Arabidopsis thaliana: one gene and its partners. The protein of the gene in region 4 interacts with the protein of the main gene of each other region in a pairwise test. Each region holds a gene or a part of one and is shown on either strand. Other genes may lie near its edges.

What was found.
Region 1: the proteins of SNF4 (region 4) and AT4G25670 interact in a two-hybrid assay, tested with the Arabidopsis thaliana proteins (one large-scale study listed by BioGRID).
Region 2: the proteins of SNF4 (region 4) and ABC4 interact in a two-hybrid assay, tested with the Arabidopsis thaliana proteins (one large-scale study listed by BioGRID).
Region 3: the proteins of SNF4 (region 4) and AT2G29670 interact in a two-hybrid assay, tested with the Arabidopsis thaliana proteins (one large-scale study listed by BioGRID).

Annotation. Positions count from the first base shown.
Region 1 is NC_003075.7:13,084,718-13,088,842, forward strand, and holds AT4G25670 (stress response NST1-like protein), read right to left. Parts: upstream 2,374-4,125; 5' UTR 2,174-2,373; intron 1,670-2,173; exon of another isoform or gene 1,649-1,669; intron 1,514-1,648; 5' UTR 1,281-1,513; coding exon 714-1,280; 3' UTR 501-713; downstream 1-500. Other genes in the region: AT4G25660 (PPPDE putative thiol peptidase family protein), read left to right, coding at 1-272; AT4G25680 (PPPDE putative thiol peptidase family protein), read left to right, coding at 3,708-3,842.
Region 2 is NC_003070.9:22,323,909-22,329,343, forward strand, and holds ABC4 (UbiA prenyltransferase family protein), read right to left. Parts: upstream 3,452-5,435; 5' UTR 3,031-3,451; intron 2,862-3,030; 5' UTR 2,852-2,861; coding exon 2,762-2,851; intron 2,683-2,761; coding exon 2,458-2,682; intron 2,377-2,457; coding exon 2,273-2,376; intron 2,180-2,272; coding exon 2,108-2,179; intron 2,020-2,107; coding exon 1,881-2,019; intron 1,805-1,880; coding exon 1,698-1,804; intron 1,612-1,697; coding exon 1,512-1,611; intron 1,438-1,511; coding exon 1,399-1,437; intron 1,314-1,398; coding exon 1,203-1,313; intron 1,125-1,202; coding exon 1,059-1,124; intron 995-1,058; coding exon 899-994; 3' UTR 529-898; downstream 1-528. Other genes in the region: AT1G60610 (SBP (S-ribonuclease binding protein) family protein), read right to left, coding at 4,091-4,636, 4,713-5,080, 5,170-5,278. UniProt on the Arabidopsis thaliana protein: Involved in the synthesis of phylloquinone (vitamin K1). Catalyzes the transfer of a prenyl chain to 2-carboxy-1,4-naphthoquinone.
Region 3 is NC_003071.7:12,681,304-12,686,916, reverse strand, and holds AT2G29670 (Tetratricopeptide repeat (TPR)-like superfamily protein), read left to right. Parts: upstream 1-1,765; 5' UTR 1,766-1,924; exon of another isoform or gene 1,925-2,079; 5' UTR 2,080-2,171; coding exon 2,172-3,532; intron 3,533-4,358; coding exon 4,359-4,608; 3' UTR 4,609-5,086; downstream 5,087-5,613.
Region 4 is NC_003070.9:2,899,255-2,906,408, reverse strand, and holds SNF4 (sucrose nonfermenting-like protein), read left to right. Parts: upstream 1-1,546; 5' UTR 1,547-2,196; coding exon 2,197-2,321; intron 2,322-2,468; coding exon 2,469-2,556; intron 2,557-2,989; coding exon 2,990-3,166; intron 3,167-3,447; coding exon 3,448-3,570; intron 3,571-3,697; coding exon 3,698-3,757; intron 3,758-3,967; coding exon 3,968-4,057; intron 4,058-4,237; coding exon 4,238-4,372; intron 4,373-4,536; coding exon 4,537-4,681; intron 4,682-4,969; coding exon 4,970-5,143; intron 5,144-5,530; coding exon 5,531-5,594; intron 5,595-5,681; coding exon 5,682-5,751; intron 5,752-5,943; coding exon 5,944-6,061; intron 6,062-6,165; coding exon 6,166-6,260; 3' UTR 6,261-6,633; downstream 6,634-7,154. Other genes in the region: AT1G09010 (glycoside hydrolase family 2 protein), read left to right, coding at 7,122-7,154.

The DNA of each region.
Region 1 (4,125 bases), on a different chromosome or scaffold from region 4:
CCAGTAAAGTGGCTTATCGCTTCCTTTCGAATGTTACCTCAAACATAACCAATGGTTCAAATGGCTCCAGTGGCTCTCCACAGCGGCCAGGAACTCTCAACAATTCAGACAATGGGAGCTTTAGATTGCAAGGTAGTTGGTTGAAAGGTATACTTAACACTGCCAAACCCTCCACAAGTACAGAGATAGGGAACAAAGAGGAAGATACAAATCATACAATCACCAATCAGAAAAAGCAGAACCGTGACTCTGATGTTCTACTATTTCAGTAGCAACTGTACTGATCCACCCCAATGTATTCACTTACTGTATATCCACCTATCCAAAATTTATTCGTTTGTATCCATTACTTTGTATCACGATTCGAACACACCTCTCTTTTTTTTTCCCCTTTTCACAGCAGAACGTGTGATTTTGTTAAGAAGATATTTTCAACACGTTACTGGCAAAGACCAAGCAAGTCTTAGCATATGCATTGCACACCTATTAGAGGGTTTGTTAAAAGAATGTGATATAAGATAAGCAACAATGCAGTATGAAGAGACTTCAACATGTATAATAGATACAACTCAAAATGCGTCTTTAATATTACAGCGAACGAAAACAGAGTATAAGGTCTAACGTCAAGAGAAAAAAACAGAGCATTGACACCAAAGCAAGCAGAAGGCAAATGTTTATTTTAAAAACCGAATGAGGACGAGTCGTGGCATCTGTCATCCCCGGAACATCCCATTGAACACAAAGGCGTTCCCATCAGCATTTTCAGATATCTGTAGCGCCGAGACAGCCTGAGCAGCAATCAAATCAGCTGATATTCCCATGTTGTTATCCCAAGCACCCCTCCTCGTGAATGGCGACCAGTTACTATCTCCTAGTCCATAGCCATTTGACACAAACCCAATCCCTTGAACCGCATAGCTAGCACAGCTTTGGCGAGGAACGTAGTTAGTTCTTTCATCTCTAAACAGATCCATTGTGAAACCCTTTTCTTCACCAAACTTGACTCGAGATGAATCATCAGAATCTTCGCCCAGTAGGACGTGCAGAGCAACAGCTTCTGCAATTGCAGCTCCTTCTTCATCTAACCTTTGTTGTTCTTCCAATCTCTTCTGCTTCTTCTTTTCAAGCTCAGCCCGGATGGCTGCAGAAGTAGCAAGAGCTTTCTCCAAACGTCTCTTTTTCTTCTCAGCTTGTTTGATACGATCAAATTCATCTTTACCATGCTTCTTCTTCGCTTTCCTAACGACTGGCTGAACTTGCTTGCACACCGTGTGATCCATTATTGCTTGACTATAAATTTCTAACTAAAAAACTGCACTAAACTCGATGATGTTGTAGAGGAACTCAAGAACTACACCCACTCTGGTATATAGGAATACCTCATGGTGCGGACAATACAATCCCAGAAAGAAACAACAGGAGACAACTGAAGAGAGAGGTTATAAGAATTCGCAGACTTATTCTTCGAAATCATTCGTCCAACATTCCCGCACCCCTTAGACTCGCCCATTTTCTGCATTGACAATTACTTGATTAGTTTCAAGTTGCAGAGGAGTAGTAACACAGAAATCCATAACATCAAAATCTGAAAGCCAAAACAATAGCATTCAAACTTGTAAAAGCTAACAGTTGTAGATAGACCACCAACCAAGCAGACACAATTGTTCTAATGACCTCGAAAGACACCAAAAGTCCTAAAGAAGTCAAACAAAATCAGCCACCAATTAGATTGAAGATAGTCAACAACAGCCAAAGAGTAAAACCTAATGATTACTCAAACCCTAATTTCCCAGAGTAGGAGCAAAGTTGAAGAATACAAAGGGTATCCATCCATCCACAGAAAGAGTTAATTCCACGGCAAATTTCAGGATCTCTCTTAATCCTCAGCTAATAACTCAATTAAGACTAATGGATACAAATTACACAAATACAGACACCAGATCTGCCGCAGAAACTAATTTTCAGATCAAAATTAACCTCAATTCAACAAGAACAATAAGAGAAACAATCGGATTTAATCCATTATGTAGGTCTAAGATCCATGAATAAGCATAAGATCCGAGGAAGCTAATCAAAAAGACTTTTAACGAAATAAGTCAATTATATTGAAAAGATAAAGGGAAATTGAAGATAAACGGAGAAACAAAGATGATGATGAAATTTAGATCCAAACCTCGGCAATATGGCATAGAAGCAGCTGCCTTCAAAGAACTCCTTTAAATTAATCGGATAATACAGAGAGATAAACAAAAACGCAGAAGTAAAGTTGCTGTTTTGATGCAGAGAGAAAGAGAGAGGAATTTCGAGAGATAAAAAAGAAGAGCAGACGAAGAAGACGAGAGAGAGAGGATAATAGAAGGAATTATAACTAGTACAGAGAAAGAAACGCAGCGCGACTTCTAATGAAATGGGGACACGTGTCGAATGATGTCTGACTTTTTTTTCAAGTGTAAGTTTTCAATTGGGACTTTGGAGACTTGGCCGGTGCGACTTCGTCTACTCCCAGTATTTTGTGGGTCCTAATGAGGGCTATTAGCAGCCGTTAGATCCCCCGATAACTGTTTTGAGATGTTTCCGGTTCCAACTTTTTTTTTTGTCGACTTCCGGTTCCAACTTTGCAATATTTATCATGTAAGAAAGAAAATTTGAGCCTTTCACGAATATGTACAAGTGTCATGTTACCTTACATTACAATAAAATATAAGAGCTTAATTTGCATTCAAAGTTTATCAACTTGACTAAGCTTTGTTTGTGCTTTGAGCATCCCATTCAAGATTCATCCACCAAAATGAGACTTTGAATACACTTTTGATATAACAAAAAACTTGGTCGAATTTCTTTGGTCCTAATTTATTTCCTGAATCCCATCTGTTGTACTGGGCCTAGGCCCAATTGGCCCAATATGTATGTACCATAAAAAAGAAGTCATTAAGTTTTTATGATTGACTTTTTTACATAGAAGCAAAATTATAAATTTGGTGTATGAATGGATGGACTAATTCGAGACGAATCAGATGGCTAACGAAAACCAGACTTGTGTCCGTTTTGCATTTTCGAAAATTATCGGAAGAATCGGTCAATTGATTACCCTCTTTTTTTTTTGTTTACCCCATTTTTTAATAGTCATGAATCATCTTCCTTGGTTGTGTCAGATTACTTAAGTCATTATTTTGTTATAGAGATGCTTTACTAGTATTTTTGATTTGTTTTGGTAAGGACACTTGTCTAGCTAAAGAAATGTTAGTTAAATGAAAGAAAAAAGGTTCAGTAGTTGACCCGTTTAATCAACTGCGAACAACGTTCATACTAATATAATTTGTTACCATAAATTCATAATCTAAACGCGTGCTTAAGTTGTAAACAAAAGGAATTAACAAGGGACACGTAAAGTAGCAATTCCGCAGGAAAAGCGAGGGTAAAATTGTCATTTCAGTGGATCCCCACCACCACCACCACCGCCGCACCAGTTTCTTCTTCATCTCCTACGTCTGAAATTGAGAAATCGGAAGAAGAAAGATAAGTCTAATCTTGTGCCTTTAGATTTCTTTTCGGGGAGATCTAGTAGTTGTTGGATTCGTTAAACGGAGAAGTGGATTTGGTACGAGTCTTTAGGTTTCCTTCTTCACCAAAAGCTCTATATAGAGAGAATCTGCGAGCTCTTTTTGGTAGGAAATTAGGGTTCGTGTTGCTTGGTAAATATAGAATCAATGACGGAGGTTGTTCTGCATATATACGATGTGACGAACAGTGGATCGGAGAAGACTAACAACACCATTGTTCAGATCAATAGGTTCTTCAAAGACGGGATCGGTCTTGGCGGTATATTCCACAGCGCTATTCAGGTACTACTCTTCGTCTATATTCTATGAATCTACATTTATGTACAATTATCGATGATGTCTAAGCTTGGTTTTGGTCTACTTTATGTAGATTTGGTTTTTGTTTCTGTGTATGTATGTGGAAATTAAGAAGTTGACGGCATGATACTTTTCTTTTGATATGTGAGGCTTTAGTTTAATGGTTTATGGTCCTAAAGGTCTGGAGCTGAAGTCTCTCTTTTGCTCAGGATCTTGTGTTTCCTAGTACTTTTGGTAACTTTCCATATGATAATGATTGCGATATATT
Region 2 (5,435 bases), about 19 Mb from region 4:
TAGAAGATGACACATATATATATATATAAAACAACAATATATACATTTCGTTAAGATTTTTAATGTTTTATATTAGTACTATATAAGTAATATTGAGATCCAAGTAATATATAATAATTTGTTGAGAAAATTAATAAAATGTAAAAAGCTTAAGAAAAATTACTAGCTTGTGGATTCTTTAGAGGATGTGAAAAGATTAGAATGAACTAGGCTTCTCGGCCATGAAGGTAATTCATAAAGCAACAACAGATCACGAGGAATCAAATTGCAATCAACAATGTCCACAATCTTCAACTTGGTCAATACCGTCAACTCATTACCATCAAAGTTATTAGAGCACACATAAAGCCTAATATATTATCATTTGAGCAGCCCATCTAAACCCGCTAATGATTTTGCTATAAAACCTAATAACATAGGCTGAATAGGCTTCTCAAATGATAATATTTTGGGGTTTTATGTGTTCTCTAATATAAATCTGGATCTCACCTTCTAATGATTTTCTTAAATGCACATGGGATCCAACTTCAGTGGTTTGGGATGGATTCAAGAATTGGAGAAAGGTCCATATCGAGAAACAATTATGTCCTACAAACACAAGCATAACCTCTTTGTTGGGCCATCTTGTGTGTTGGAAATCTGAATTACCTAACACAAACGCCGTCAACGGGCTTGCACTAAATCCGACATGGCCCATGTTTCAACATATCCATGGTGGCACCCGTCACTTTAACAATTGAGGATACAATCGCTCACCATGCTTGTGATTAATTTGAGACCTTTCACAACTGTTGTAAGTTCGAATGTTTCCTTTTAGCTACAGCATACTGTAGTGGCTAAACGTTTAGGTAGATACAACGAAGGCTAAAGAGAGAAACAAATGTTTGGTGACTGATTTCTAGCGCGCGATAACTAGCCCCAACGACAATGCGGCTCCAAGCAAGGCGTGGAGTCTCACACAGTAATACTTGGCCATGAATATCTTCCCATTATCCTGCATTAAAAGAATAGATTAGCAAAACTTTGAGTATTACAAATTTCAATTCTAAATATCTTACCTTGTGGTGCTTTTCAACGTAGCTTGAAACCAAATTCCCAACTGGTAATGTCAGGAAGCACATCAACTGAAACACCAACAACAAAAAGGAGGTTTTAATATATGTTCTTATATTTCAGTCATGTTCTCAAATCTGTTAACTTACGGTGCAAGGTAGTGGCAAAATCCTGGTTAAACCAAGAACAAGAAGCATTGAATATAGTAAACGAATAGTCCATCTCACAACAAAAGCTCCTTTTTCAGTCCCTAACCGAACCTGTGTCAACCAAAAAAAAACTCTAATCATAAACACAATCACCATATTCATATTAAACCTTGTTGAGTTTTTTTCACATTTGTACCAGAGGTGAATATTTCCCCACAGCTAAATCTCCATCCACCTATAGAATGTAAATGTAGTCAGTACTGTGTTTGTCATTTCAGGACTCATTAGACCACTTTTTCATTAACCAACCTGATGAAAGTGGCTGCAGAAAAGGATAAGAGATGTAGTAAAACCAACAAGGACAGATGATGAAAGGACCCTACCGCTTAGCGGAAGATGCCTCATCTCGCTGCCAAAACCGATTAACAAGCTTCCATTATTAACACCTCATGGAAACACGAATGGATTAGGCTTAAAACAAAATTTTGATATTACCTTGAGCTACCAAGAAGTAGATAAAAAGCAGTAGTAGCAAATGGACCAAATGCTGCAAAGCATAGAGGCTCTCCTAATCCTTGGTAACTTAACCGAAATGGCGGACACTAGTCACAAAGTATTACTCTAAGTTAGAAATCTCCTAGATTAGTATCAAATTGTCATCTAGGAAGTAACGTTCACCTGGTATACGTAGCCACAGAGTATTGCTGAGGCTAGCAATAGTATTGCACGGATATTACTTGCATTTAACGATGTCCAAACTAGACCAGAAACACCAAGCGCTAGCGATGTGATTGCAGCGGCTAAGGTTCCTGTCCGGCTTTTCCAAGTAAAACACAGTTTATTAGGATGGAACTCAAAAACATAAACTTCAAAGTTGCAAACTCTATCCTTTGATAATACTTTACCTTCCAACCAGATTTACTACTGATTCCATTTTGTTCTTATCAGCTCCGGTATCAAAATCATAAACATCATTGCTGCAAACATAAAACCATGTTTGGAAAGAGTAAATACATGAAAGAGTAAATACAGTCAACGAAAATGTTAAAAGGAATCAATCAATTAATCACCTTAGGTTGAGCCAAGTAATGATAAGAATTGATGAGAGCAATAGAGTAACATAACGTCTAGCTAAGAACAAACCCGTCTCTAAATAGGCCGCTGAAGCGCCAACCTGTGTGACATTTGAACAGTGAATATTCCCTAGCAGATAAAGGCAATGGAGGACATAGAAAGGTTTCTTGAGGAAACATACGGTAAGAGGAACTAAAGCGACAGAGTACATTGGTAGTTTGATTGCTCTCCATATCAATTTTGCTCTGGGAATCTCCTCTTCTTGGTAAACCTTTGCTGCATCTCCATAACTCTTACAAAAGATTGGCCTAACTCTAAGGTTTCTTCTTGGTTTAGCATTCAGATTCTCTCGTGCATTCGAACCAAACACCGGTAATCTAGTGATTACATCTCCTCTGCTGGGAAGCTAAGCTAAGTAATTTTAGTGACAGTACAAAGTAGATTATTGTCAAAGAACAAAGCTTTGGATGAAGTGCTAAGCCTACCTTGTGAATTTTCCGTTTCACAAACAAATCAGTTGAATTTTTGGGCACAAACCCATACTTTATGTCACAGAGAGAAACAAAATTCACCATTTTCAGGTTTCTGCATAAAACAAAAGAAAGAATTTCAGTTAACAGAGGAAGAACACTACTTCCGAGTTAAAGTCCGAGATTCTGGAACCCTATAACTAAAATCTTTGTTCTGGCATGAATCAGAGACAATGGAAAATGAGTAAGATGAAGTAAAAAAAGTATGAAGTTTGGAACTTTACCTTTTTTAACACGAATCTTTCGAAGAGAGTTAGCGACGGAAGTGGAGTCAGATCAAAACCACGACGTGATCATAACAAAATTCACTTGAGGAAAAATATTTCAACTTGGCTCGTCTACAACGAGATTTTCATGAACCCACGAATCTGGAATCTTAATTTGGAGAAGATAACGCACACAGAAGTACAGAACAAACTCATTGAACCTTATACAAAAACTGAGAGAAAAGTGCCCGAATTATGCCAATAAACAGGCAAAATTGAGTGACCAGAATCAGAATCAGAGGATTTGTGAAGGAATCTATGCAATGCAAATGTTGGGATTTCGTTATTCAGACAAGAATTTGAATGTTGGGTTTTGCGGAAGAGACGTGAATGATGAAGTGGATAACAGAAGCTCCCTCGTTGGAAGATAAAATCACGTGAGGTTCACGTGTCTTTGACCAATTTTAAATACAAGTAGAAAGGTGGGCCTTTAAGGCCCATTACTTTCGAGCCTTTGAGGGTTTGGTTGGTACAAACTACTACAAGTAAACTAGATTTGCATGATTTACAAATTAAACAATGTTGACATAATTTATAATTAAACCAAATTAATATTAATGCCAAAAATTAATATTCAGATGGGGAAATTAACTGCGTCTTTTTTATTTTTGCAAACGTAATATGATGTATATTAATATCAACTTTATTAGTATTTTTCTAACGGAAATATTGATCAAAATCCTTTACATTAAAAAAATATTGTTTTAGTACATAAATAACCTTACTTGGGAAACAAGTTTTGCAGCAAAAATATTAAGAAGAAAAAAATCAGCCAAAACAAGTTTAATAATTTCTTCTAACAATGTAATCCACAGCTTGACATATCGCACACGACACGGAACTCAATTATTATCTCGTGTTCAAAGAACGGCTGCTTAATAACTACGAAATAGCAGAATCATGCTATATAGGTTTAATGGCAAAAGCAAAGAAAGACTCGACCAAGTTTTCATTCATCACCACCATCACATACAAATATGTTCATCCACCATTTACTTTTCAAGAGTATGAAGACAACTCAGAAGAAGAAGACCTGAACGCTAGAAGTTTTCAAAGACTGGCAAACAGGACAAACACCAGTAAACACATCACAATCTTTACACAAACTCAAGTGCCTACATGGCACGAGCAAGACCGAAACATTCTTTACGTTACACAACTTACATCTCATCCCAGTACTTGGCATCCCCGGGATGTTCAAGTAATTGTAAGAAGCTGCTTCGTCATCAATCTCACTATCCCCAAACCCTTCTTTCATTTGATGATGATCAGCAACTCCTCCTCCTACTGCATTGTTGTCGTTTCCATGTGACATCACTTGTTGCAAATTTACCTTTAAGGCATTAACCACAGATTCATTGTATTTTGCTTTGTAATGCCAGTTCTGAGCTTCCACTGCCACTTGTTTTATCTTATCCACGAGTTCCCGGTTCTTCTTGTTCATGCTTTCAATCTCATGGTCTTTCTCTTGAAGCTTCTTACTCACATCCTTCTCTAAGGCCGTGACAAAGGACGTGACATGTCTCTGTTTAATATCTCTCACACCTTTCGCCATTTGATCTGCCTGTTCCAAGAGAGAACAATTTCAACGACATGGGATATGTAAGCAAAAACATACGCTTTGTAGATAAAATTAATACCCGGAATTTGATAAACTGATCAAGCTCGTCGTTCTGTCTATTGAGGTCCAATCTGATATTGTCACCGAGTGACTGATAGACTGGAGTTGTTATGCTTCCATTTGCTGAAGTTACAGAAGAGTTGCGCTCATCATCATCATAAGATAGTCTCAGACCAGTTGACACTAAGTTCTGCTTTGGGACTTCATCTTGAACAACAGTATTATTGTTGTTGTAGTTATAATTCAAAGAGATCTGCAGCTTCTGCTGTCTCTGCATAATATTGTTGTTTTCAGTTTCCCTTCCGCGTGTGCTATTAAGCCGCATCATAGGAGCAAGGTTATCATTAGCAAAGTAGTTTACAGGATCAATAGTACAACCAGCTCTCACTGCAACCACATACAAAGGAACAAGCTTTTAGCTCTATAAAGTTCTAACAACATTCAAACCAAATGAATAACAAAATTCAGAAACTTACTCGTCCCAAGCAAGTGAAGCTGATTCAACGATGTGTTTGATTGATACCGAAACTGGCTGTCGTTCATTAGAACCTGCGGCACAGGGTTATCATTGTTGCCTCCCAACATCTTCTCTAGAGCTTAACCGTTTTATGTGTATATATATACCCGTAAAGAACTGAAACAGAAAAATTACAGTAAGAAACCTGTAGACATACGAAACTAATTAGTTGTAAGATATGAAAGCTCAAATATCTTCAGCTTTTGACATGACGAGCCAAGATGT
Region 3 (5,613 bases), on a different chromosome or scaffold from region 4:
CTATGAGGGACTGGTTATAATCAGTATATGTTCCTCTAGAACTTTCTTTCAAAACACATTTCACATCCTATATTCATAAAACTCGTAACGAGACGAGCTAATTCGTTTTAAATCCATGTGTACCCTAAAGTTTTTAATTACGAAATATTCTCGATGGTCCAAATATAGACGATAATAAAAAGGAAAAAAAAAACTGAAATTAGGACAAGGTCAGATTCCACCGTACGTTTTGTAAAATGGAATTGAATAAACTAAGGGAATAAATAAATATCAATGAAAGGTGAGAAGAGTCCAATATTGTTGAAAGAACAATAAATATCAACCGTTAAGAAGGACATAAGCCGAATACCAACGAGAGCCGTCAATTCTTCACCTTCTTCTAACGTCAATGTCTCAACGACGTCAAATTACGGCAAGTTGGTGCATACCTTTCTCTCCTTCTCCACCGTCGGTTTTTTTACCCCCTCCATTTGGCACGTTTCAACAAGATATAACCACCCTATAAACAAAACAAGATATAAACCACTTGTGTTATTCTTCTTAACTTTCGATTTTTCGGTTAGGTTTGGTTACAGTTTTTTCGGCTGATTTTTCCCGAACTAGAACTTATAAGCTCGTCCATTATGGTCTACATTGTTTAACTCACGTTTATACATATTTATCAAATTGAGACCGAAATTGTAAATTGGTTCATTTTTTGTTGTTGTAAATTTCAATTGCAGTTAATTTGGTTTTCTTTGTTTTGTTTCAGTTTAGTTCGGTTTTGGTGTTTTGAATTGTGTGTTGGTTATGAAATTATTAAATACGTTTTGATATTTGTTCAATTTAAAATATAAGTTGTTAAATGGGGCAGCTCCAAATCTTACGAAACTAGATATATATCTCAAAAATACATGCATGCGATAATTTACGAAGTCGTAGTTATTTGTTACAATCATCATTGCACATGCACAGAAAAAGGTATCTTATAAATTACTCAAATCAAGTAAAAAATAGTAGGATCCACTATATAGTCACCCCAACTATATAACCATATAGAGAAACAGTGTAATCAAAATCTCCCTAGAACGGAGATTATTTTCTATCACTACTTTGGTAAAACTAAAACATAATTTTCTATAAGCAATTATTTCCTTCATTGCATCATTACAAAACTTGATCTCACATTTCATGAACGATTTACGATTTTTCGAATCCGTCGATTTTGGATCAGACGTATTTACGTTTTCTATACAAACAAAATTTAAAAGAAAAAGATGTAAAAATTTTGATACCAAAGAGGGCAAAATGAACATAGACGCAAATCGCAACACTTACCACACATCAAAGTTAACGCCAGATTACATGGACACTACGGGACCCACTCTTTTAGCATACCTTCTTGCAAAACTGTTACTATTTTCACACTCCTAATTAAACCATTTTAAAATAAATTATTATCTTACAGCAAGTAAAATATCTACATGGCTTTTCCAAGACCGTTGATTGGTTTAAATTTTAAATTGGCAAAATACAGTACGCAATACACTAGTACTAGTTGTCAGAAAATGACAAAAGAAAACCCAATAGTCTGGGAGACACTTGGTCTATCTTAAACCGTCAGATGTAAAAATAATAAATCCTAATGACATCTCCGGTTAATCATGTGAGTCGGTTCTTGTCACCGGCTTACTTGTTTGTCAGATTCTTTACGTCGCTGTATAACCGGCTTTAACCCGGTCATATATTTAATTTAATTAATTTCGATATTTTCGATCATAAACTCGTGCGCAACAAACCCTTCCTTGACATCTGTATATAAAAGCTCATCTCCTCACTCTCTCTCTCTCCGCGTTCTACTAAAATAAAAGTGAAGCGCCTTCCTCAGGATTTTCCCGAGTGAGTTTCGCTTTCCTCCGAGAAAATTTCAGACTTAAATTTTCCGGTGAGTTTTTCTTCCTCTCTTTACCTATTTTTTTTCTTACTAATTCGTTGAACCCATCGATTCTCGTGACATTACCTTTCCACTATCCGATTTGCCATCTTCAATGATTCAATCTCAAGATAATTAGTGGATTCAATTTCTCTTATGATTTACAGGAATCTAATAAGGAGAAGCCATTGTTGAAGAAACTAGTCTCTCTGTTTCGAATCTTCAAATTCAGATTCAATATCTATCAGGAAAATTTCGCATGGGGGTGAAAGTAGCTTCTTCGTCTACTTTCCTTCAATGGACTACTCAGCCTATTATTCATCAGTCTTCTTCACCATCTCAAACCCTAGCTTCGGGAACCATAACATCTCCTTCAAAACGACGTAGCACAGTACACGACGGCCGGTTTCTATCATGTCGTTTCGTGACACAGAGACTAAACCGTTCGGCTCTTTTCGGAACTCCGTCGACGAAGCTTCATCGACCCAAGTCATGTGAGCTATGGAAATCATCATCATCATCATCTAGACCGATCAAAACTCAGTCGTTTCGAAGAGTTTATAGCGCAAACTTAGATCCATTCTCCGACGAAGAGTTCTCGAAAAAAATCCAAGAGCTAACTCTCAGATTCAATATCCCACACCATGACGACGACGAGAATTCAATCGAGCCGCCATGGAACGAGATGGTTCATTTGTCGAGTATTGAAATGAAAGCAAACAGTGTTGATCTTCCTCTTTCACTTCGTATTATAAAGAAGAAACGTCAATGGGAAGAAGGAGTTAAACAAGCTGGTGAATCTGCGTGTTGCTCGATGAATAAAGCTTTTTCTTCAATGGTGTTTATGATACGGGAGCTTCAGAGCTTTACTTTACATATGAGAGAGATTCTGTTCTACGAAGACTTGCAAGAGATTTTGCTAAGAGTTAGAGAAGAGATGCAACAATCTTTCGTTTGGTTGTTTCAACAAGTTTTCTCTGCTACTCCTACGTTGATGGTTTATGTTATGATTCTCTTAGCCAATTTCACTGTTTATTCTATCGGTAACAACAGCTCCGCTTTAGCCGCTGTTGCTCCTCTTCCTCCGACGATTACGGAGTTAACAACTGTTAGTGAAACAGAGGAAACAAACGTGAAGTTTGATTCCTCGGTGGTGAAAACGTTCTTTGTATCATCTCCTAGTGGGAGTATAGCTTCAGTTGGTGGTAACAACAATGGCGGCGGTGGAAACGTCAAGCCGGTGTTAAGCGGAACTGACGGTGATGGATCCGATGGATCAGAACAGTTCAGAACAATCATACCCGAAGGAGTTTCTCAATTGTCATCATCGAATTTCGGGTCAGAGCCGTCAGTATCGGGACAAGATGAACATAGATTGTGGAATTCGATGGTGGAGGAAGCAGAACGAATGCAGTATTCAAATATTGACGATTCGTTGGATCAGGAGACGAGGAAGCGGTTCGTGTCTCATGTAGAGGCTCGAGTAGAAGCAGAGGAAGACACTGGTTACTTCAAAACAGAGCTAATGTATCAAACAGAACTGTCTCAAGAGCCTAATAATCCTCTACTACTCGCTAACTATGCTCAGTTCCTTTACCTCGTCTCTAATGACCATGACAGGTAACACTTTAATCATGTGTTTTCTAATTAAATTATGTTAATCTTAGTTTAGCTTAAGTAGATTTGGTTATTGAGTTAGGGTCGAATCTTCCTTTTAGATTCTTTTGGGTTGTGAATTTCTGAGGCTACAAGTTGATGCATAGAGTCAAAAATAGGCGCAGACTTCGATGATTTTTTAATTCACTAGTGGGGCAGATTGTGGAAATTCATAATTGTCATAATAATCGCATCAGCAGAATATACACCAACCAATTTCTTTTCCTCTTTGAGGAAAAACGACATTACACAAATATCTAACAGAGAATAAATAAAGAAAATTATAATGTAACTCTCAGTCAGTGTTAGGGATAAGTTCTAGCCAATGAGCTTTGAGTCTTTGAGGGTTTTAGTGATAGTGGAGTTTACGGTTGTGTTTTAAAGACTCCCCACCATAACCCAACAACAAAAGTCGTTACATCACAATTTGTCTTCTAGATTTTATCTCCCACCCAAATTAATTAACCCATGTTTTTGTCATTAGCTTTATACAGTTAGTTTTTTGTTCTAGATTGTAGCATTCTTTAGAAAATTGGGCTTAACAAGCATTATAGATTTTAGTGACACGATGAATGGTTTGATATTATTCCTAACCGATCCTTATTTGTTAGTATGATGGCTAAATTGATAATTCTTTCACATTTTTGTAACCGGTACCTAATTCATATTATATGGAAATTTAATTTTCACACGTAACACTTTTGGCGTTATTCATTTCATCATTAATACGTTCCACATGTCTTTACTTATCTCTATTGAATAAGTTCTCACGTGATTTCATGTGTAACAGAGCGGAAGAGTATTTCAAGAGAGCGGTAGGAGTGGAACCGAAAGATGCAGAGGCGTTTAGCAAATATGCGACGTTCTTATGGAGAGCACGGGACGATCTTTGGGCGGCTGAGGAGACTTTCTTAGAAGCAATTGATGCCGATCCGACCAACTCTTACTACGCCGCTAATTACGCCAATTTCTTGTGGAATACCGGCGGTGATGACACGTGTTTCCCTCTTGATGACGAGTCTCATGAAGACACCATTTAGATAAGAATGTGCACCATCAAAGTCTCTCTATATAAAATATTGTATACAATAAGTACAACTAATGAATATACACATATGTGCATACCATTAATGTATTATGTATATGCATGTTTGTCACCAAGGCTCGGTGGGTAAAAGAGTTATATAATACTTATGGTTGCGATCAGTCTAGAGAAAAGGAAGAAAATATCTTGGTTTGGTGGTAGTTGAGGCACGTGATTATAGCGCATGAGATCGAACCTGATCTCACCGCCTTCATGAGTTATGACTCATAACTTATGAATCTTCGGTTGGGCCTATGTCGTGGAACCAAGTGTGTTTACTGTACACTTTTCTTTTTTATTGGTTTGCACATAGAGTACTACGTACAAAACTAGTCAAAACACTAAAATCGTAATGCAATTTCGGCATGTTTTTGTTTTACTTTATTTATGTGCCGTATAACTAAATTGACTAACTTGCAATTTTGACTCTTTGAGATTCTAATCAAGGTACAACGATACTCAAATCTTTCACTCAATACCGTTTAAGGCTTTTTAGTTATTTCCTCTCGTTAAGTTGGTGGAGCAGTTGTTTGATTCATTGGTTTGTCAATCACGTTCTTAGACTTGGAAAGAAATTTCTTATTACATATTGACATTGTATATGAGAGACCTAGAAGTGTTCATATGGAATGACATGTGTTGGTGGCTTTGGCATGTTCCTTTTCAATCTATAGATTGAGTCATAGAGGTCTCCAATGGAATGAGGTTGTACTGCACTATTACGAGGATTTATATCTTGCTCACGAGCCATGCAATGTCCTTTTGTTTGCTTACTCAACAAACCAAATTGTCACCGTTTTGTGTCATGCCACTAAGGGTGAAGATTTACGAAATGGCAATGCAATAAGCCAATTAATTAGAAACGACATAATCATCGTTATGATTTTAATGTACACGATGGAGTTATGTTCAATGCAGTTTGGACCTATGTAAATGCATGCATGACACGAGTTCATATGTA
Region 4 (7,154 bases):
ATAATCTAAGCTTTTCACTTTGATTGATTTCATATCAAAAAAAAAAAGAAAGAAAGAAGGAGCATATGTGATGTAATTGGAGAGTTGTTTAGACTAAGAGAAAAATGTATTCAGTGGAGGCTAAAGAAATTCTTCTCGAAATCTGATGCAAAACCCATAACTGAAAGAAAAGAAGAAGAAAGAACTCTTTGAATTAGTTCCCGAGCCAAAGATCATATACATAACCAGAATTACGACGAAGGAGTTACGGATGTTTAGGACGAGAGCCAAAGATGTTCTAACAATATGTAACCAAATGAAGACTTTCCAAATATTAAAAAGAGCCCTTATGAGATAAAAAAAAAAAACTTTGTTGGCCTGTTTTTCAATGCCCAAATATAGCGATCAAGATTTTGAGATGAAAGTTATGACCATTAAAGGAGTATATATATCCAATTGTCCATACTAGCCAGCGACCGTGAATGCTGCCCAATAACCAACAAGCCAAAATGACCATTGTTTACAAATGTCTTTCTCATTTGCTGTTTTCCGACAGATAGAGTAAGTGTATATATAGAATAGTACTGAAAGAGAGGGCCGGGGGACTTATATACGTTTTGAGGAAAAAGATAAACAACATTAGAGTAAGAGCGAGATATATACACTTATATAAAGTCATGTCTATAAGAAAGTTCAAATCCAACTTAAAAATATATACTCACAACAAATAAAAGTTACATCACTTCGATTATTTAGAGTTTATAAAACTAATTAGAAACCGAACTCTTTTTTTCTTCAAGGTCGTGTTTTGGTTTTAGGCTTTTAGCCCTAATTTACAGGTCTTTCTAAGGCTAAATCTACTATAAAATGTAATTGCATGCCTAGGGTTCAAACATGAAGTCTCCTCTCCCTCAAATAATGTCAACTTGGAAGACAACACGATTGTCTCCCTGTATTACATGTCTACCGAGAATAGATGTACAATGTAATTTCATGGATTATGTTTAACCCGATAATAAATTGGTGTGGGATGTAATGATTTATTTTCTTTAATTTAAGAAATTATAAGAGTTGACACAATAAAAATTAGAGAAAAAAAAAACATGGCTTTTCTTTTTACTTTATTTATTTACCCTGCTTCAAAACACAAGAGAATAAGAGAAAAGTGTATTTTGAAACGTTTTTGAATGTTAGTTTGGTTTTGTTTGATTTATAGTACTGTTTAACATCAGAAAAGACAAATGAGTTTAAAAAAATAATACCAAAAAAAGAATTTACTAGATACAATTTTAAAGTGGAAATATTTTTAATAACTTGGATCCTCGTCTAATTTATTCATAACATTTATGTGATATATTATATATATAGGAAATGATTTATTAGATAGTTGACTAAAACTATATATTAGATGCTATTATTTGCATAATTCATATAGTTATTTATTATGAAAAAAGAGAAGAATAATCAGTTATGTAAAAGTAGAATTTTTTTTTTTTTTTTAAATGTTATCGGAAAAACTGTATACAGTAATAAAAAAGAGAAAAAAAAAAAAAACCATATCTTTGTCGATGGATTAAAAACAACATTTTCATTACGCAGCGCTTCTTCGCCCTCAGATTCTTCTTCACCTTGAAAGACCATTAACATCATTCCTTGCCCAGATCCAAACAATGCCATCTCCACTCTCTCTATTTAGGGTTCTCTCCAACTTTTCAAATCCCTAATTCTTGCTCCCTCCCTTCAATCAATTCCGATCATCATCGAGGTCTCTCTACTCCCCGAATTTAAAGATCAGAGCCGCGACTTCCTCTGCCTTCTTTTCCTCGGAATTTTTCAGCTACGTTTTCCAGGTGGTGTGTATTGTCAATCAGTTGACCTTTGCTTTTGTAGCCAGATCGTTCGTGCTTTGAGTTTAGGGCTCTTTTACAAGGTTTCGTGTTGGTGGAATTTCTCTACCTAGGTTTGGGGGAAGAGTTCAGTAATTTCGTTGTAGATCGTGATTTGGGCTTTTAGGGTTTCGGTTTACTGGTTGCTGGAATTTATGGTAGCGTTATTGAATTCGGACTCTCTGCATGTGTAAGCGTTGAAGTTTGAAGTTTCACCGGGTTTTGTTTCTTCTGCTGAAGAGTCGAGATTATTTTACGCATTAAGAATCGATTCAGAAGGTTTTTAGGAATTAGTTTCTGTGGATTGTAACTATATAACTACTGGGAGGGGATGTTTGGTTCTACATTGGATAGCAGCCGTGGAAACAGCGCTGCCTCAGGGCAGCTTCTTACTCCGACACGCTTCGTGTGGCCTTATGGAGGTAGAAGAGTCTTCCTAAGCGGATCTTTCACCAGGTGAGATGACTGAGCTTGAACTAGGATAGTTTACTTTATATTTCAGTTAAGCTATTTATCGGGGTTTGTGTAGAGTATGTGCTCTGTATAGTATCTATCGGGGTTTTGCAGTCCATGGACTGATTTCTGAAATGGGCATTTGAACAGGTGGACAGAGCATGTGCCAATGTCACCGCTCGAGGGCTGCCCTACTGTTTTTCAAGTCATTTGCAACTTGACGCCAGGATATCATCAGGTTAATAATCTTGTACTCGACCTGTATCATGGCAAATTCTTTGTTAATTAATCCCTGCAGAAGCATTTATGTCCTTGTAGTGATTTAGCGATGTCCATAATTGTGCTTCATTTAGTCTCTGGATACTTAACCTATGCAATGAGAATCTTATATACCTCTGTCATATTTGTATGACTGTGGCTGAAAATTGCAAATTTCCTTGCTAATTGATCAAAATTTGACTTTATACATCACCATCCACATAACAAAAGTTGGGGTCTTCATGCTGTGTGATACCTAAATCACTTCTTTTAATAAAGGCTACAGTGTGTGTATAGAGATTCATATATTTTGGCAGTTGGATGTACTATATATAACAAGATTTTAATTATTACAATGTGAGATGCTTAAGAAGCCACTAATGTTACATTTATGTTATTTCATTCTCATGCAGTATAAGTTTTTTGTTGATGGGGAATGGCGGCACGATGAGCACCAACCATTTGTAAGCGGAAATGGTGGAGTAGTGAATACAATATTTATAACTGGGCCAGATATGGTTCCTGCTGGTTTTAGCCCAGAGACACTGGGCCGGTCGAATATGGATGTGGATGATGTCTTCCTGCGAACGGTAAGGAATCTGACCTTTCCTTTTCCAAAATGCAGTGTTTATTCTCGCTGCTTGATGGTTCAGGTTTCCCGAGTTGCTTCCAGTTTGGTTTCTTTAATTTTGATCCGTGGTTGGTATCCTTCAGATTATTTTTAACTGTTTGTCATTAGTTCAAGTATAATTGATTTTAGACCATTTTATCTTAATGTATAAAGCAGGATTCCTTAAGTTCCATTAAATTGTCTCTGAGACTACATTCAAATTGAGTTTCTGACTGCTTTCACATGGTGATTATATTGTAGGCTGACCCGTCCCAGGAAGCTGTTCCTAGGATGTCGGGGGTTGATTTGGAGCTTTCTCGTCACCGCATATCGGTTTTATTGTCAACCCGCACTGCATATGAGCTGCTCCCAGAATCGGGCAAGGTTTGGTTTCTTTTTCTTTTTGCTTGATCATTGATAATTTCTGTCTTCATGTCCTATAGATTATCAGTTAAGAATAACCTTTGGCTTCTTACTCGGAAATTGTCTAAGGTGATTGGAAATTTTACAGGTTATTGCATTGGATGTTAATTTGCCAGTGAAGCAAGCATTCCATATACTCTATGAGCAGGTTTACTTTATTTGCCAATTACCCTTGTGTCAGCTTCTGTTCTTGTTAGGATGTTCATCTCTCTGTCTCTCACCGTCATATAAACATTCTAATATTGTTGCATCCAGACCCGGAAAGGGAAGGAAGTGAAACTTAAGTGAACAACATTCGTCTAATTATACTTCGAGATTGTTTGGCTTTCTGGTTTTTGCTAATTCCAGATGCTTTCAGGGAATCCCTTTGGCTCCTCTTTGGGACTTTGGAAAAGGCCAATTTGTTGGAGTTCTTGGTCCACTAGACTTCATTCTAATACTGAGAGAGGTTGGCTTCTATTAAAACTGTTCTTTGCTAGAGCATTCCATCGAGTTACTATTGTATATTCTTAGAATTTCCAAGACGGAAGTCTGGATATCTCATAAATCACATAGTTTTAAATGTTTTACTAGCTTCTCAGTATGAAATTTCACTCTTGAGTATAATAGCAAATTTGTAAAATTGCAGCTTGGAACTCATGGATCAAACTTGACAGAGGAAGAGCTTGAGACGCACACAATAGCAGCCTGGAAAGAGGGGAAGGCTCATATTAGCCGGCAATATGATGGAAGTGGGAGACCATATCCTAGGCCACTTGTTCAGGTGAGATTTTCACAGTTGATTTGTATCGCTGTTACTACTAACTTTCTTCTGTTTGCGTAATCTCTGAACATAGCCTTATCCTAGAACTTTCTATTGCATGTTATATTGAAAAGAGCTAGTAGTATTTCTCTCTTGCTATTAATGGTTTTATATATGGCTATCAGGTTGGACCCTATGATAATCTGAAAGACGTTGCCCTGAAAATTTTGCAAAACAAGGTGGCAGCTGTTCCGGTTATATATTCTTCTTTGCAGGATGGTTCATATCCGCAGTTACTGCATCTTGCTTCGCTATCAGGCATATTAAAATGTAAGGTCCCTTCATTTGTGAATAAGACACTGATAAGCGCGCCAATTTGGCATTTCTCACTTTTTAATTCATGACGTGCATATGATTCTGCTATTTCCAAAATTTTCCCACTTCTTCATTTCTCCAAATTCTGTGAAGGGATGGGATCTTTAGGAGGGAGGGAAATTAGAAACTAAAGTTGCAATTGACTTTACCAAACTTTTTACACAGTTTTCCCTGTTAATAATTCCTTTCGAAATTTATGCCTTTATCAGACACTTAAGCTCTAAATTAAGCATAATCTTCCAGGTATATGCAGATACTTTAGACATTCGTCTAGCTCTTTACCTATCCTTCAGCAACCCATTTGTTCAATTCCCCTGGGTACGTGGGTCCCTAGAATCGGAGAATCAAGTAGCAAACCTCTCGCTACATTGAGACCTCACGCCTCTTTGGGTTCTGCGCTCGCATTATTAGTTCAAGGTAATCCTTTTTCTTATCTTGTTGCAGCAACATCTTATTCAAAGCTCATCTGCAACTCAGACTATCAACCTCTACATTACAATCAGATTTTCAGTTTTAAATATTTTGTCTAGATGGTAATATAATCAAGTAGCTGAACACATGGGTATACTCAAGTCAATGCAGACCAACAAACCAACTTTAGATGTTACGACCACTTTTATTATTTTTATACAGATGTAATTGCTGCAACATGAGTAAACTAACGAGGTTTAAAAACATAGAAACATTTTTGTCAATCTTAAAGCAGATATATTTATAGAATTTCTCGTGATCTTTTCCCTGGTTCCTCATAGATGGAAATGAATGAATGAGTCATGCTTAATTTATGTTTCCTGGTTATTACAGCTGAAGTCAGTTCAATTCCCGTAGTGGATGACAACGACTCGCTTATTGACATATACTCTCGAAGGTAAACCTCTATCCATCAATCGACATGATGTCTTATGCATTCCATCTTTGACGTCCTTGTGTTCTGATGATATTTGTAATTGGCCAGTGATATAACTGCTCTGGCTAAAGACAAGGCATACGCACAGATTCATCTTGATGACATGACAGTTCACCAGGTAAACCTCTCATCAGAAACCAAGATCCATCACATGTCTCATCAAATTACGAGTTTTACTTAAATGTAACCTGCCTATCTATCATGGAAATTGCCTCGTTTCTGATTTATTTGAACATACATCTTTACAAGAATGAAAGAAGAGATGAAACGTTATAATAAAGTGGAGGATAATGTGTTTGTGGGTTTTCAGGCGCTACAGTTGGGGCAAGATGCGAGCCCGCCTTATGGAATCTTCAACGGGCAGAGATGTCACATGTGCTTGCGCTCAGACTCTCTTGTGAAAGTGATGGAGCGGTTGGCGAATCCAGGTACACACTATCTCCTATATACAATCTTCAGCTTTGTTGCTTGACACAGGAACATCAGATGAGATGTAACTGGGGTTTGGGTTTGTGTATATAAAACACAACAGGTGTAAGGAGGCTGGTGATAGTGGAAGCAGGGAGCAAACGTGTTGAAGGTATCATTTCACTGAGCGATGTTTTCCAATTCCTGCTCGGTCTTTGACTCCCACAGCAAAACAACCTCCCCAACCTCTTTTTCTCATTTCCCCTCAATCAAAACTACCCAACAATTTGCTTCTTTTTTTTTTTTTTTTTTTTTCTTCTTGCAAGGAATTTGTAAATTTGCTACGAACCTCTTTCATCATTGTTTTCTTATTATTTTTGTTGTTTTAGTTGAACGGGTTTCCATTCTTGTGAAGATATTGGCTACCGGAATCTTTTACTAGTAGCTTCCCTCAGCTTTTTCTTCCCTCTTTTTTTTTCCATTTTTTTTTGGTTTTGAGTTTTTCACTTCATCGACTCGAAAAGCAACACAGCATGAGAAGGCCGTAGAAGTGTAGGACAATGCACTGGTTGACAAAGATGAATTGTCACCAGCGAGAATAAGCCTTATGGTTGAAGTTTGCAAGTAATGATTAATACAATTACAATCATAACGAATCATAACCTTAAGTACAATAACAAGTAAAAAAGTACAATGACAAGTAATATTCAGTAATGGTTAATCGAGTGATTTGATCATAGCATTATCGATTTCTTTCGGATTTTTCAATAGCTCTTAAAATATATCAATAAAAGTAATACAAAATTCAATCAAATCTAGTGACACTAAAAAAAAATAAAAAAATCTAATGTCATTTAAAAAATATTTGAGCAAAAAAAATAAAATCTAATGTCATTAAAAATAAGTGTTAAATAATTGATGACATAATAAGTGATAGAGAAAAATGTATTTACTCTATTTACTTATTTAGGCTTATCCAGACAATAAACGTTTTCGTTTTTCCAGTCCAACAAGTTTCTTCATCAACTCTCTCAACTGTTTTCGACATAAACATTCCAGAAGCTGAGATCAGATACTAAAATGGCGGAGATCGGGAAGACGGTGTTAGATTTC